2 linked regions of the Elephas maximus indicus genome follow. The protein of the gene in region 2 purifies or fractionates together with the protein of the main gene of each other region. This does not show direct contact. Links are inferred from orthologs where the notes say so. Each region holds a gene or a part of one and is shown on either strand. Other genes may lie near its edges.

The links.
Region 1: the proteins of DUSP9 (region 2) and MAPK11 purify together in Homo sapiens (affinity purification with mass spectrometry; 4 studies listed by BioGRID and IntAct, with this or other methods). This does not show direct contact. The link is inferred for Elephas maximus indicus from reciprocal best matches to the Homo sapiens genes DUSP9 and MAPK11.

The regions. Positions count from the first base shown.
Region 1 is NC_064822.1:196,618,763-196,626,389, reverse strand, and holds the start of MAPK11 (mitogen-activated protein kinase 11), read left to right. Parts: upstream 1-4,584; 5' UTR 4,585-4,695; coding exon 4,696-4,811; intron 4,812-7,309; coding exon 7,310-7,439; intron 7,440-7,627. UniProt on the Homo sapiens protein: Serine/threonine kinase which acts as an essential component of the MAP kinase signal transduction pathway.
Region 2 is NC_064846.1:2,702,205-2,708,823, reverse strand, and holds DUSP9 (dual specificity protein phosphatase 9), read left to right. Parts: upstream 1-3,972; coding exon 3,973-4,348; intron 4,349-5,041; coding exon 5,042-5,497; intron 5,498-5,757; coding exon 5,758-6,086; downstream 6,087-6,619. UniProt on the Homo sapiens protein: Inactivates MAP kinases. Has a specificity for the ERK family.

The DNA.
Region 1 (7,627 bases), on a different chromosome or scaffold from region 2:
CACATGAGCGCGCACACGGCACACATGCTCACACAGCACACATGCACACACACGGCACATGCGCACACGTGGCGCATGTGTACACATGGCACGCATACACGCATGCACACACGGCACACATGCACACATGGCACACGTGTACACATGGCACACATACACGCATGCACACACAGCACACCTGCACACACATGCACACACACAACACACATGCACACACATGGCACACAGCACACATGTGCACACGGCACACATGCACACACGGCACACATGCACGCACAAGTGGGACCCGTGGCACACACACGTGCACACACAGTACATGCCACATAAGCTCACATGGCAGCACCAGCTGCACAGGCCTCTGCCATTTGTCCATCCAATACATTCTTACTGAGCACTAGTTTTGTGCCAGGCACTGTTCTGGGCACTGGGGACACAGCAGTCAACAGAACTGACAAGGCACTGCCCTCAGGGAACTTCCACTGTGGTCAAAGAATTCCAGTTCAAGCAGAAAGGGGATTTGGTAGCTCCATAACAAGGAAATGGCAGCCTCACAGCTTCAGTTATGGCTGGATCCAGATACTCACAAGGTGTCTTTGGTGTCAGCAGGGACACTGGTGGCAGGCAGCCCAGGCCTGTGCCCCCCCCCCACATGTCACTGGTTGCGGGGGATCTCTTGAAGGTCTAGATCTTGGTTATGCGCCACCCCTGAAGGGGCAGCCCCATTCAAGCTACATGGAACAAGGGTTGATGTCTCCAACAAGGAAGGCATACTAGACATACAATGGACAACCCCCCTTCTCAGAGACCAGGCCAGTCAGAGCATCCAAAAGAGGTGTCACTCATGTGCCTGGTGAATTCAGACCATGGGGCAGCAGAGACATGGACAAAGGCAACGGGGACACAGTCTGGGGGTGCTGAGCTGGGGATGTGGGGGAGGGGGCTGGGAACCAGGAGGTCTGGCCTCCAGACTCGGCCCCTGCAGCCACCTCCACCTCCACCCCGTTCAGCATCCAAGCAAGAGGAAAAGGGAGAAGGAAGGGCTCAGTGAGAAACTCCCTCACCTGCCCCCTCCCCCCATGAAGCTTGGGGTAAGACCTTCAGGTCCAACAGTCTTAAGTTTAGGTGAGGTTTTCACCCCTCACCTCCCTTTCAGGACAGTGAGGACTGTGAAGGGACCTGGGGGCTGTCCTTTCTTAGGGCCAACAGAGGAGCAAAATTTGGTGGTGTATGATGGGGTACACAGGGGTGGACAGGACAGCATGGTCAGGATGCCAACAGAAGAGGCCTGCCCGCCCTTCCTGCCACTTCTGGTCTACCTGAGAGGAGAGAGAGGTGGGGAGGTGGCGCAAGTGGGCAACTGCTTCGGAGCCATGGGTGAATCTTCCCCTAAGCAGCCCCTCCTCTTTCTTTGCTGAGTGACCTCCCGCCCCTCCCCACCATGGGGTATGTGCTTGTGCAGGAAGTAGGCTCTGACGGCAGAGAAGCAACGTCTGACCAGACAGGAGTGGTCTAGGAGACCAGTGGGAGCCTGGATGGGTGGGAGGGCAGTGGAGACAGAGAGAAAGGGTGGGGTTTTGATATTTAGGGGGGACACTGTAGGGGTGGAGGGAGACTGGGGTGGTCTGGGAGGAGGAGGCCAGGGTTCTGGCCTGGGTGGGAGCCTCTTGGGCTGAAGGCACCCCTTGGAGGTGTCCATCCTCAGGCCTGCCTCTCACCCGGCCCCCACCACGTCTGGTCCTCCCCCACCTATAGCACTCCCCCAAGCCCCACCCCCCCACCGCCATCCCTCCCACCCCCCCGCCTACCCCGCCCCTGGCCCTCATTTTTGTTTCCCTTAGTGGAGTTCGGGCCTGCTCGGGTTCCCCGCGGTGCCTCTCTCCCTGCATGGCTTCCTGGGGGCGGGGGCCTTCCCTGATTCCCCCAGGCCCCGACTGTCCCCTCTTCCTGGTGGGCGGTCTCTAAGCACTCACCACCTTCCCAAACCCGCCAGTAGTCGCTCCAGACCATTCAATCGCCCCCACCCCAGGGGCCTCTCCAGCCTGCTGGCATCCGGGGGCGCCCAGTGTACGTCTGCTGAGGCCTACGAGAGGGTCCCCACTCTGCCAGGCCGCTGAGTCCTGATCTGCCCTAACCCCTCACCGCCGGGATTCTGGGGGCGCTGCGGGGGCGGGGCAGGCGGGGTCTCCTCGGGCCGCGGGAGGGATTGGGGGATAGGAGGCGGTGCCCAGCCCCCATAAGGGGCGAAGGGCGGTGCCCGGCCACAGTGCGGGGTAGGGGCGGGGCCGGTCGCCATGGGAACGCACACACTGGCGGCTCCCCTCCCCCGCGGGTGGCCTCTAGGCCGCAGTTCCCACACCCCAGAGGCCTCGGCTCCCGCCCCTTTTTCCTCCTTTAGCTGAAGCTCCATTAACTTTGCACAAAACCTCTGCCTGCATCCGCCGTTGGTGAAAGGACCCCTCATGGCGGGGGCCTTTTCAGGGAGGCCCCGCGGGCTCGGGGTCGGAGAGTGGCGTCCTCACCCCCCCCAACTGCAGCGCGCCCGCGCCAGGCCCTGGAACAGATACCCACTCTCGGAAGAGAAACTGAGGCCCAGCATGGCTCAGGACTTGCCCAGGGTCACGGACAGTGGCCGCGCGGTGCAACTCGGACCCCGCAGCCTTTGTCCGCATCTCGCCCGCCCCACGTCTGGATTCGCCGGGCACTTGTGTTCGTTTTCCTCTGTACCGCGTTAACATTTTTTAATTTGGTTGCCAATATTTGAAATTCATAAGATTTCACACAAAAACTCGGATTTGAGCTTCTTTTGAAAAAGTAGAAGTCTGGGCAATTGGGGCCTGAATTCCACTTCCCTGGGAACAGGATCCCCCAGCACCCTCACTGGCCCCCAGGGTGGAGGTCAGGAGCCACACGGAGCAAAGAGCTTCTCCGAACTCACGTTATTTTTAAAGCGGGAAACAGAAGTAGACTGAGGCCCAGAGCGCCAGAAAAACGCTGGCTAGAACGTTTGGTGGACCGGCGAACACACTCACCTGCCCCGGGTTAAAGCAGGCTGTAAGAACTAAACCCTGAAGGCCACGCGAAGGGACCGACCGGCCCTTACTCCCGTCACCTACTCTGCGGCTGCGAGGGCTGAATTCGAAGCCCCTGCAGCCCAGAGGCGGATTGCTCACTCCCGGGAAAAGCCAGGGAGCTTCCTGAAAGGTGGGAAGGAGGTAGAAGACACCAAGGAGGATGATGTATTTAGGTACCCTCCTCGTAGGCACAGCACCCCAAACGCCCCGCCCCCTCGAAGCCGCTGTCCCTGGTCCTGACAGAGCTGGTCCCTGGGCCCCGGCGGTCACGCCTCTCCCGGGCCAACCCGATGAGCAGGAACCCCTGCTGAGGGCCGACAGCAAGCCATGGAAGGTTCACCAGGAGAGGAGCCACAACCACCAAGGCCAGAGCTTCCCCCACGGGAAGGGAAACCAGGCACTGCCATATGCCACCGAGGCAGTGGCCCTGTCTAAGGGCCTTTTTGGTTGATTTTTTAAACAAGACACCTAGTTTTTAAGTAGTATCTCCTTTCTTCTCGATAAGGAGCCCTGGTGGAGCAGTGGTTAAGAGTTTCAGCTGCTAACCGGAAGGATAGCGGTTCCAACCCACCAATCTGCAGGAGAAAGATGTGGCAGTCTGCTTCCTCAGAAACCCTATGGGGCAATTCTACTCTGTCCTACAGGGTCGCTGTGAGCCATGATCGACTCCACGCCACACAACAACAAACTTTCTTGATGAAAAATCTTTCCCAATGCTCACCCCTGGCTTCCTCGATTTTGACAGTTCTCCCTGGTTTCTGAGGGTAACACTGGGGAGACTCGGTGCCCACGCCTCACCTTCCCCGTAAGTGTGGCAAGGGGCAGGGCAGGTGGCAGGAGGTGAGGACAGATCAAGGGGAGAAGAGATAATGTGGGATCCGGGGCTGGAGGCAGGCGAGGTTTCGGGCAGATCCGCATCGGGGCCCCAAGGCTCCGCTGACCAGGGAGTGCGGAATCCGAGCGGGATAGGGGGTGCGGAGACCCAAGCAGGCTGAGGGAGATGCGGGCCACAGCAAGTTGGGGGAGGTGCAGGCCACAAAAGGCTGGGTGATGCGGGGACCCAAACAAGCTGAGGGGTACAGGAACCCAAGGGGGCTGGGAGGCATGGGAACAGGCTGGCCACAGCAGGCTGTGGGAGGTGCGGGCCACAAACGTCTGGGGGATGCGGGGACCCAAACAGGCTGCGGGGTTGCGAAGATCCGCGCGGGCGGGGGGTGCGAGGAGAGGCGGTAGCATCGGCCTGGACAAGGCGGTGCCCAGGCCGGAGACAGGACGCGGGCGACGTTTGGGGGAAGCGCGAGGCCCCAGGAGGTAGGAGGGGACCGAGAGAGGAAGCCGCCCCCCGCCCTCCCCACCGCGGCCGCGCGGGCCCGCCCCCGGCACCGCCCCGGGCTGCGAGGCCGCCCAGAAGGGGGAGGGCAGGCGGGTTTCCGCCCGACCGCCGCCTCAGAGGGGCAGGAAGCCGCGCGCTGGCCCGAGAATCCCCCCCGCCCCCGGCCACCCAGCCCGGGAAACCCCCCGCCGGTCCCGCCCCACCCACCGCCTCCTCCTGCCGCCCTCCGGCTCCTCCCGGGCTCCGGCGCGCGGCGCGGGGCCAAACTGGGCCGAGGAGGCAGCTCCGGACATGTCGGACCCCCGCGCCGGCTTCTACCGGCAGGAGCTGAACAAGACGGTGTGGGAGGTGCCGCAGCGGCTGCAGGGGCTACGCCCGGTGGGCTCCGGCGCCTACGGCTCGGTCTGGTAGGGGCGGGGCGGGGGTGGGCGGGGTGGGGGCGGGACGGGGCCGAGTGCGCCCCCTCCCCCCCTGCGGGGCCCCGGCGTGGGGAGGGGCCTCGCCTGCCCCCGCCCCCGGCCCGGCGCCGAGCGGAGGAAGGAATGGGGGGCGCGAAGGAAACTTTCCTCCCAGAGGCCGCTCCCGACCTGGGCGGGGGTGTCCTCTGGCTCAGCACGACCCGGAGCGCCGCCACCCCGGCCCGGATCCTGCGAGAGGGTGGGTTTCCCGAGCCCCTGAAGGCCTGAGCACGAATCTGACGTTCCCTGAGTCAAGGGTCTGGCAGCCCCCAGGGTCTGCAGACGGCCCCCCTGCTCCCCGGTGGGTGTTTTTGTTTGAAAAGGGGCAGCCCAGGTGGGAAAAGATGAAGACCTCCGCCCTTAGGCCGGTCTCAGGCTTCACCCGCGGGCCCTGCCCCTCCTCCTTTTCCGGGGGGATCAGGCTCCGGAGTAGGGGCTTAGGCCAGAGCAGAGGGGATCTGCAGCCACGTATTTCTGCCCCAACCAAGGGAGCTCAGGTGATAGCCCTGCAGCTGGACCCTGAGGCGTCCAGCCTGGGGCCCTGTCAGATGGTCGAGTCTGCGTGGGGCGTCCGGGACGCCTGCAGGCCTCCTTCCCCTGGTACTGGGGTTTGGAGAGGACTTAGGATGAGGTGGTTACAGGGAGCCCTGAGGCGATGTTTAAATGTTGACAGGCTGAGGCTGATGCTTGGGTGTGGACGTTGAGAGATGCGCCCCAGCACCCAGTAGGGTCTTTACCAGCGCTGCTGCCAGGTGGCTGCCGTCCACTGGAGGGGGAGGCAGGGGCCACGAGGGTGTGGCGGGTTGTTGCTCCAGGCTCTTGCAGACCGTTAGGAGGGGCAATTCCTCGTAGCTTCTTGGAGTCAAGAGCAGAGGCTTGGGGTCCGCAGGCTGATCTCACTGGTCCTTGCAGGCTGTCAGGAGCTTCGGGCAAGCCATTTCAGCTGGTTCAGCCATTCCAGCCTGAGGCCTCGGTCTTCAAGGGCAGGGGGAGGGTCTGGGACAATACATGAGTGCATCCGGGGGACCTGCAGAGCCACACTGGACTCACCTCTGCCCAGGGAATTGTCAGTCTGGGAGTTGGGGAGGAAGTGGATTTCTCCTGCTGCATCTCGGGCAGTGTTTGCATGGCCCCGGTGCAGGGGGATAGCCCTGTCCTGGGCTCTGCTGGTGCAGGCAGCAGCTGGGGATGGGGTGCGGACTCCTGTCAACTCCACTGCGCAGACGCAATCAGACAAAAGGGTTTGCTGCCAGAGATGAGGGGCCACTTGCCTCATCACCCCCCCCACAGGTGCTGGGACCATTGTAGGGTGGGTCATAAGCTTGAGGGGGCATGGATACCCCAGGCACCTGACCAGCATCCCTGTACCACCCCCCCCACCACCACTCTGATCCCCCATGAGCATGGAAGCCCTATCAGGACAGCCTGAGGCTCCATTCACTCTTCCTGAGGATAGGGGGAGGGAGCCCAGCAGACAGGAAGTGAAGCTGGAGGGAGGGAAAGGAACAGGCTGTGCAAACCCCTCCATGCCTGGGCTCCAAGCTGCGTTCAGTAGTCGGGTCCTGGTAGTGAGGACAGTGGGGACCATGGATGGGTGGGCGATGACCCTGTCCCATTTGTGTTTGAGGACTGTAGCAGGGACTGCTGTGTCTCAGGTGGCCTTAGGCAGGTGAGGGGCTGGTGCCAGACAGTCTGGACCTGTGGGGAGTGGGGTTGGGCAAGCTGACATGTTCCGTGTGTCCAGGCACCACTCTCGGCTGAACATTTCACATCGTCCACTTTTACACTGTTAAAAATAATGATGCAATAAACACCTTTGACCAGTTTTCCCTCCATATCTTGAATATATTTCCAGGACCAGGGCCCAGAGGAGGTGTTGAGAGTCCAGGGGATTTGGGGGGGAGGTCTGGGGAGCCTCCCAGAGCCCATGGGGCCATGAGGGACGGAGAGGAACGTTTCCTGACATGTCATTTGCACGCTGGCTGGCGGGGGCTCTTCCTGGGCCTAGCACTGCGTTGGGGGAAGAGTCCGTGGGCTGGGAAGCAGGAGGCGAAAGAACCGAGTCCTGTGGTGGGGCCCCGGGTAGCTCGTTCTGCTGGTGGTGGTGGGAGCTGACCCTCCTCTTGAGGAGGGAGTAGGTGTGGACGGGACGCAGAGGAGGAGGGCTTGTCCAGCCACACGCCAGCCAGCCCAGCTCTCGCCCCGACCCTGCCGTCGGCAGCCGGCAGAGGCCCCGCCCGAGGGGCTCACGTCTGAGCCAGGCCCCGGGATGGGATGCGGGGAGCGGGGCCCGGCGCAGCGGAGGGGCCAGGGAGAGGCGCTCAGGCGGCCGGCGGCTCGGCGCCCGGCCCGGCCCTCTCCTCCCGGCTCCCCGCGTGCCGGCCTGGGGCGGGGGGCCAGGGCTGAGCCCAGACCCGTCGGCGTGGCCTCACTCGCCCGCCTTCCAGCTCGGCCTACGACGCGCGGCTGCGCCAGAAGGTGGCGGTGAAGAAGCTGTCACGCCCCTTCCAGTCGCTGATCCACGCGCGGAGGACGTACCGCGAGCTGCGGCTGCTCAAGCACCTGAAGCACGAGAATGTGAGCTGGGGGAGGGCCAAGAGGGCGGGCGGACCAATGGGGCCGGGGCGGCCTGGGGGCAGGCCAATGGGGGCCTGGAGCGCTGTGGGGGCGGAGCGCCCTGGGACGGACCAATGGGGCGGGGAGCGCCAGGGGGCGGAGCCACCGGGGCGCGGCGGGCCTGGCGCAAGGGGGGGTGAGTGCGTCCC
Region 2 (6,619 bases):
TTCATTCATGTCTTCTTTGTCAGCAAGCATTTCTTCCTGAGCGTCGGCAGTGGGGCTGGGGCCAGCTGGGGGCCGGGCACACACTGGCCTGCCTTGGAGGAGCTCCCAGTCCCGCCAGGGGACAGACCAGGAAAACCAGAAAGCAATCCCCAGCAGGAAGTGGATTTGGTGGCAAAGAGACTGAATTTGGCAGCAGCGCTGTCTCTGGGAGTTGTACTCCTGGCCATGTGACCAGGCTGCCACAGCCGAAATCCTGCCACTGTGCCTGGTGGGAACGGTGCATTTCGGGGTGAGGGGCGCCGCTCTCCGGAGACTCCCGGACTAGAGGGCACAGGCGGTATGCGCGGGGCCTGAGGGCGGCGGCGCCCCTACGGCCTCCAGGGTCTGCTGGCCAGGTGGGGCTAAGGCAGGGGCATCCGGTGGGTCTGGCCGCGCCGGGCCGCCTGAGAGGGAGAGGGCGGGGGCGGCGAGTGCAGCGCCCACCCTGCGGAGAGCGGCGAGCGCGCCGCCGGCAGCCTGGCTCCGCCCGCCAGAGCGGGCCTGGCGAGGCCCGGGCGCCCGGCGCGCTCCCCTGCCCGAGCCTTCCCGGGAGCGGCCGCGAGGCAGGGCCGGCGACCCAAGCAGGCACTGCAGGGGGCCGGAGTCGGGGAGGCCTCGGCGTGGTGGGGGGGCGCTTGGCGGCGCTCAGCCCTGCAGTGCGGAGATGGCAACAGGTTCTCGTTCGTCCTGCTGCTGGCGCTGCGGGCGCTGCTGGCGCCGGCACTGAGCCGAGCACTCACTTTCGAGATTGAATCCCCCCCACTCCTAAATGCTCCCTCCCCGGGCTGCCGGGAACCACCGAGGCACAGCCGGCCACCGGCTCCTCCGTGGGAGGCCTCGCCAGCAGGGGTCTGGAGCAATAGACCCGCAATGGAGCTTTTGGGACACACAGGCTCCGTCCTCCCAGGGGGTTATTGGGACCTAGGCATCCCCTGCAGCTCCAGTCACCCCCAGGGGGTCCTGTCCAGAGAGCACCCTAGACGCTTCAGGAGCTCCTATCTCCCAGAGCTTGGTGACACTCTCTCCAACTACACTGAGTCCCCATGGCAGGACCAGTCAGGGCACATGTCTCTCCAATTAATTCCTCGCTGGCCACAGCAGACTTATGCTGGGCAATCTCCTTGGTGCCTTCAGCCCCTGCCCATCCCAAGGTCCTGTCCCCAGCTGCAGCGGGTGCCCACATATGCCTCCCTGGAGATAGGATGTGAGAGACAAGAGCCCCAGGAGCGCACCGAGAAAGGGGCAAATGAGCCCCCAATCTGCAGGCTCTTGGAGTGACAGCCTCAGGGAGCACCAAGGAGGGAGACCACAGCTGGCCCGTGAGACTTCCTGTTTTTCTTGGATGCCTGAAGGAGAGTGCCTTGTGGGGGGGTCCAAAAAAATGGGCAGAATCTGGACAGATGGCAGAGGAAGACCTATGCTGGAGGCAGGGACCAAGGTGCAAGAGAGAAAGGGGGACATGGCCCAGCTGCCTGAGGCCACCCTCCCCCCATGGAGGCGGTTTAAGTAAAACCGCCCTGGAGGCCAGGGAGGGTAGGTCTTTGCATGTTCTTAAGCAGGGACATGATGGGGCATGGCTAGAGATCAGTCCACTGACAGTGCTCCAGAAGTCCGAGGCTGGAGGCCCACTGGGGGAGGGGCAAACTGGAGGCCTAGCTTTCTGGGATCTGTTCTCTTCCACTCAGCAGTACCTCCCAAGCATTTTCTCATCTTGCTCTATTGGCTCATGAGACCAGTGTTTTCAACAGACATACAGGCATACGTACATAACTGCTCTAAACGTTGGACTTCAGGTTGCTTGGCATTTTTCACGCCTTAAAAAAACGTTTTGTGGTGTCCGTCCTGCTGTGGATAGCTTTTCCTTCTTTTAGCTTATTTTCTTCAGGTAGATTCCCAGAAGTGGTCAAAGGGAAAGGATATTTTTATTTTTCTTGATACATATTGCCAAATTAGTTTCCAATAGGGTTTTACCCGCCAATACAGCAGCATACCAGTTGCACAGCAACTTTGCCAGCACTAGGCATTCTTATTTTGAAATGCTTTGATTTTGCTACTGTAGTTGGTGGGGAGTGTTACCTGGTTTTTTGGGTTTGCTTTCCTCCATGCCTGAGCTTGAACATTTCCCCAAACATTTTCGAACCAGTTGCATTTCCTCTTTTATTCCTGCCCATTTATCAATCCTGGTCTTAAGCTTCTGATTGATTTCCGAGCTTTGTCTTACGTGCTGCACATTTTCCTTCAACACTGTGATTTGCTTTTCATGGATTTTAAGCAGAGAAGGGACAAACCCGATCACCTTTTTAGAACCCCCCATCACATTGTCCCGTTTCATTGTCTCAGCACTTGTCCCAACCTGACATTATTGTGTTTGCTGCTGGTCTGTCCTGCTAGACTCTGAGCACCGTGTGTTCTGCCTGGCTTATCACCCTGTTCCTATGGATGGGATGGAGCCCACTGGCCCTTGCTGAATGAAAGGCTGAGTTCTGGCAGCGGGGAGCTGATTAAGGGGTGACTCCCAGGATTCTGGCCGGGGTGACTGGGTGGATATGCTGGCTGAGAAGGTGGATGTGTTTGAGGAGTTGAGCAATGTGGTAGGAGCAGAGTGTGGTGGGGTGGGGTTTGGAGGTCAGAGCCTCTGGGTGCCTTCGGCCAGGCCTGTCCCACTGAAGCCCACGGGGGGAGCCTAGGGGCTGCCTTCTGCCTGCCTAGCCCTTGGTGGGAGCTCTGGGCCAAAGACAGTGGTGGGTTTCCGATCCCGGTTCTTCCTCCCCTCCACGATGTCAGCGGCATCCCACAGTAGCCCAAGGTGGTGGCTGTCGTGCATCCACTATACAGATGGTGCCGCTGAGGTCCAGACTCACTGAGTCAGTTGGGTTGGAGGCAACCCCTGGGGCAGGGACGCTGGGCTTTGGGCCTCACCCCACCCCTCCCCCACCTCCTGGCCGAGTGGCGCCACCAGGGGAGCTGTGCTTGACCAGTCCTTCCTGGGCCCCTGACTGCCCTTGGCCTCTGCCCCATCGTGTCCCGCCTTGGTGGGAGCCCCAGCTTAGCGCGCCACTTGCAGGGCCCACCCAGCTGCTCTCGCTGGAACCTGTTGGCTCCCTGGCCACCCTGAGCCCTCCCCTGCCCGCCCCTGCCCCGCCCCTCTGAGCTGCGGCTCCGCATCCAAAAGGAGCGGCTTCCAGAGTAGAAGCTGGGTCCAGGGCCAGCAAGTGGCGGGAGCGCTGGCAGAGCCGGCCTGGCCTTCCACGTGCGCGCCTCCTCAGCAGCCCTGCCTCTTGCCCAGCAGCCGGGCCTGGGGACTCGCCGCCCGGGGACAGCGCCGCACGCCCCGCTGTGGCCACGACGTCTGAAAGTGGCTGCTCGCCGCCTGATCCCAACTCCAGGTCTCTCTCCTTTTGTCCTGTCTTCCCTGGGGAAATCAGGACACCTCAGCTCCAAGAGGGCCCGCCGAGGCCCGTCACCTGGGTGTCACCTCTGTGCCCGGGCCTGCCTGGCCGTGGACGGGGGGAACTGGGCCTTGAACTCCCCCCCGCCCCCAGCACACACACGCACCCAAACTCAAAAGCCTGAACTTGGGGAGTGATCGCTGGCAGGCTGAAAGACGCAGAAAGGGGGTGTGAAGGGCCGTGGCTGTGGCCCTGTGGTGTCCCTGGAGGGACTGGCGAGGGATCCACAGCCGTCTAAGGGGCCACCAGATGGCCAGCCTTCCTCTCGCAAGAGCAGGGAGCAGTGCCGGACACCGCGTGTTTTCCTTCGGGGCGCCCTCCTGTGCGTCTTGGCTGGGGTGGTGGGAGGAGAGGAGCCGGCGATGGCGAGGTGCCTCGCGGGCCCGGACGCCTGCCTTGGGAAGCAGAGGCGACTTCGCCCGCCTGGGCTCACAGCCACCTCCCCTTCCTCCGCAGTGCCGGTGGCCAGAAGCGCAAGGGGCTGATGGAGGGCCTGGGTCGCTCCTGCCTGTGGCTGCGACACGAGCTGTCGCCCCCACGGCCGCAGCTGCTGCTCCTGGACTGCCGCAGCCGTGAGCTATACGAGGCGGCGCGCATCGGTGGGGCGCTGAGCGTGGCCCTGCCAGCGCTGCTGCTGCGTCGCCTGCGCCGGGGGAGCCTGTCGGTGCGCGCGCTGCTGCCTGGGCCGCCGCTGCAGCCGCCCCCACCTGCCCCCGTGCTCCTGTATGACCAGGGCGGCGGGCGGCGGCGGCGCGGGGAGGCTGAAGCTGAGGCCGTTGAGGAGTGGGAAGCCGAGTCGGTGCTAGGCACCTTGCTCCAGAAGCTGCGGGAGGAAGGCTACCTAGCCTACTACCTACAGGGTAAGTGTCTGCAGCCCAGCCTGGGGAGGTAGGGCCCCTCCCGCCCTGGGGATTCATAATTAATTCGTCCTTGGGCAAAGTGGAGGTAAGACTCCCTCTCTGACTCCCTGCCAGGCAGCTGGGGGCTGGGGGTCTGAGCATGACCTTGGCCCAGTCCTTCACCTTTGGGAGCCCCGATTTCTCAGTCTGGAAAATGAGGAGAACTGGGCTGACCTGACCTAGCTTGGCACATTCTCCGGCCTCCCCATGGTTGTCACGCCACCTCTTAGGGCAGCAGGAGACCAGCTCCCAGGCTCTGGGGCATACAGTCATGGCGGGGCTGGGAGAGGGGGAATGCAGCTGCTCCCCAACATCCAGGGCAGGAACAGGGCTCCCCTGAGCCTACAGGACCAGTTTTTCCCATCCCCTTCAGTTCAGTTGGTGGCCAAGGAGGGTCATTGGGTCTGCGCCCATTGCTCCCTTCTGAATATGGTCCACTTTGGGTCAGTCTCCCTGGGCTCCTTCTGCAACAGCAGCCGCAGCTGCAGATTCAGGGTGGTGGCGGGGGTGCCCACAGCCTGTGGGGCGACTCCTGATCCACATGAGGACACCAGTATAGATCAAGCTGCAGGCTTTCTCATTCCCTTTGGGGGCATCTGGGGTTAGCTCCCTATCCCCAGCCAGGTGAGCAGGACCCTCCCTCTCCCTGCACAGGTGGCTTCAGCCGATTCCAGGCCGAGTGCCCTCACCTGTGTGAGACCAGCCTCCAGGGCCATGGCGGCCCCAGCACAGCCCAGGCACCCGGGCCAGTGCCCGTCGTGGGGCTAGGCGGCCTGTACCTGAGCTCCGATTGCTCTGACGCAGAATCTGAGCCGGAACGTGACCCCACAAGCTTCGGCCTGGATTCAGAGGGTGCCACACCTCCCCCAGCGGGGCTGCTGCCATCCTTTCCTGTCCAGATCCTGCCCAACCTCTACCTGGGCAGTGCCCGGGATTCAGCCAACCTGGAGAGCTTGGCCAAGTTGGGCATCCGTTACATTCTCAACGTCACCCCCAACCTCCCCAACCTCTTCGAGAAGAACGGCGACTTCCATTACAAGCAGATCCCCATCTCAGACCACTGGAGCCAGAACTTGTCCCAGTTCTTCCCAGAGGCCATCGCGTTCATTGGTGAGTCACCCCTTGTCCCCCCTTACCCCCCAGACCTGATTCCCGGTCCCTCCTCAGAGAATTCCTCCCATTCTGTAAGGCAGACCAGGTGGCCACTTAGCTGCCCTTCCCCAGAAAGCAAGATGGCAACTTCAAGGTGGTGCGCAGGGCTGGGGCCAGCTCCCAGAGGCCTGACCTGGCATGGCCACTGGGTCACAGGGCAAGCGGGGGCTGGGAGGACCTTTGCTTCAGGCAGGCTGCCCTCCCCTGGCTCCTCCTAGATGAGGCCTTGTCCCAGAACTGCGGGGTGCTCGTCCACTGCCTGGCTGGGGTCAGCCGCTCCGTCACTGTCACCGTGGCCTACCTCATGCAGAAGCTCCACCTCTCCCTCAATGATGCCTATGACCTGGTCAAGAGGAAGAAGTCGAACATCTCCCCCAACTTCAACTTCATGGGGCAGCTGCTGGACTTCGAGCGAAGCCTGAGGCTGGAGGAGAGGCGCTCGCAGGGGCGCGACAGTGGGGGGCAGGGATCCACCACCTCCAATGACCCACCCTCCTTCTTCACAACCCCCACCAGCGATGGCGTCTTTGAGCTGGACCCCACATAAGGCCCCCCATGCCCACCGCCTCTCAACGGGTGCTCCTGACCACCTCACGTGGCGGGGGAGGGGGCGGGTGGGGTGGGACTCGGGGAGGGGGCTCAGCTGTAGGCAGGAGGCTGGGGGAGGGAGCACAATACCTCACATGGCGCGGTGGAAAGAGGCAGGGGCTGGGGCCTGGGATACTCAAAGGCCCGGCTCCCTCGGCTCCCGGCTCCCTCGTCTCACCAGCAGGGGTGAGGAGGAGAGCCTTGTCCTGCCCACTTGAAACATCAGCGAGGAGCCTATTAAACGTGCCTATTAAACCTGCCGCCACTTTCGGGCTGAACCGGCTCGGCTCCGGAACCTGCCTCTGCTGCGACTGTTACTTTTCTCTTTGGGGGTGGGGGTGGGGTTCTCATTGGGAGGGGCCATTCACTGGGCCCTGGCCGTCCCACTAATCTTCTCTCTCCTGAAAGGGTGTGTGCCTGTTAAGGCCACCTGGTTTGCCACAGGGCTCTGCTCCCAGGCCTGTCCCTGTACCCAAATGGCTGCTGTAGAGA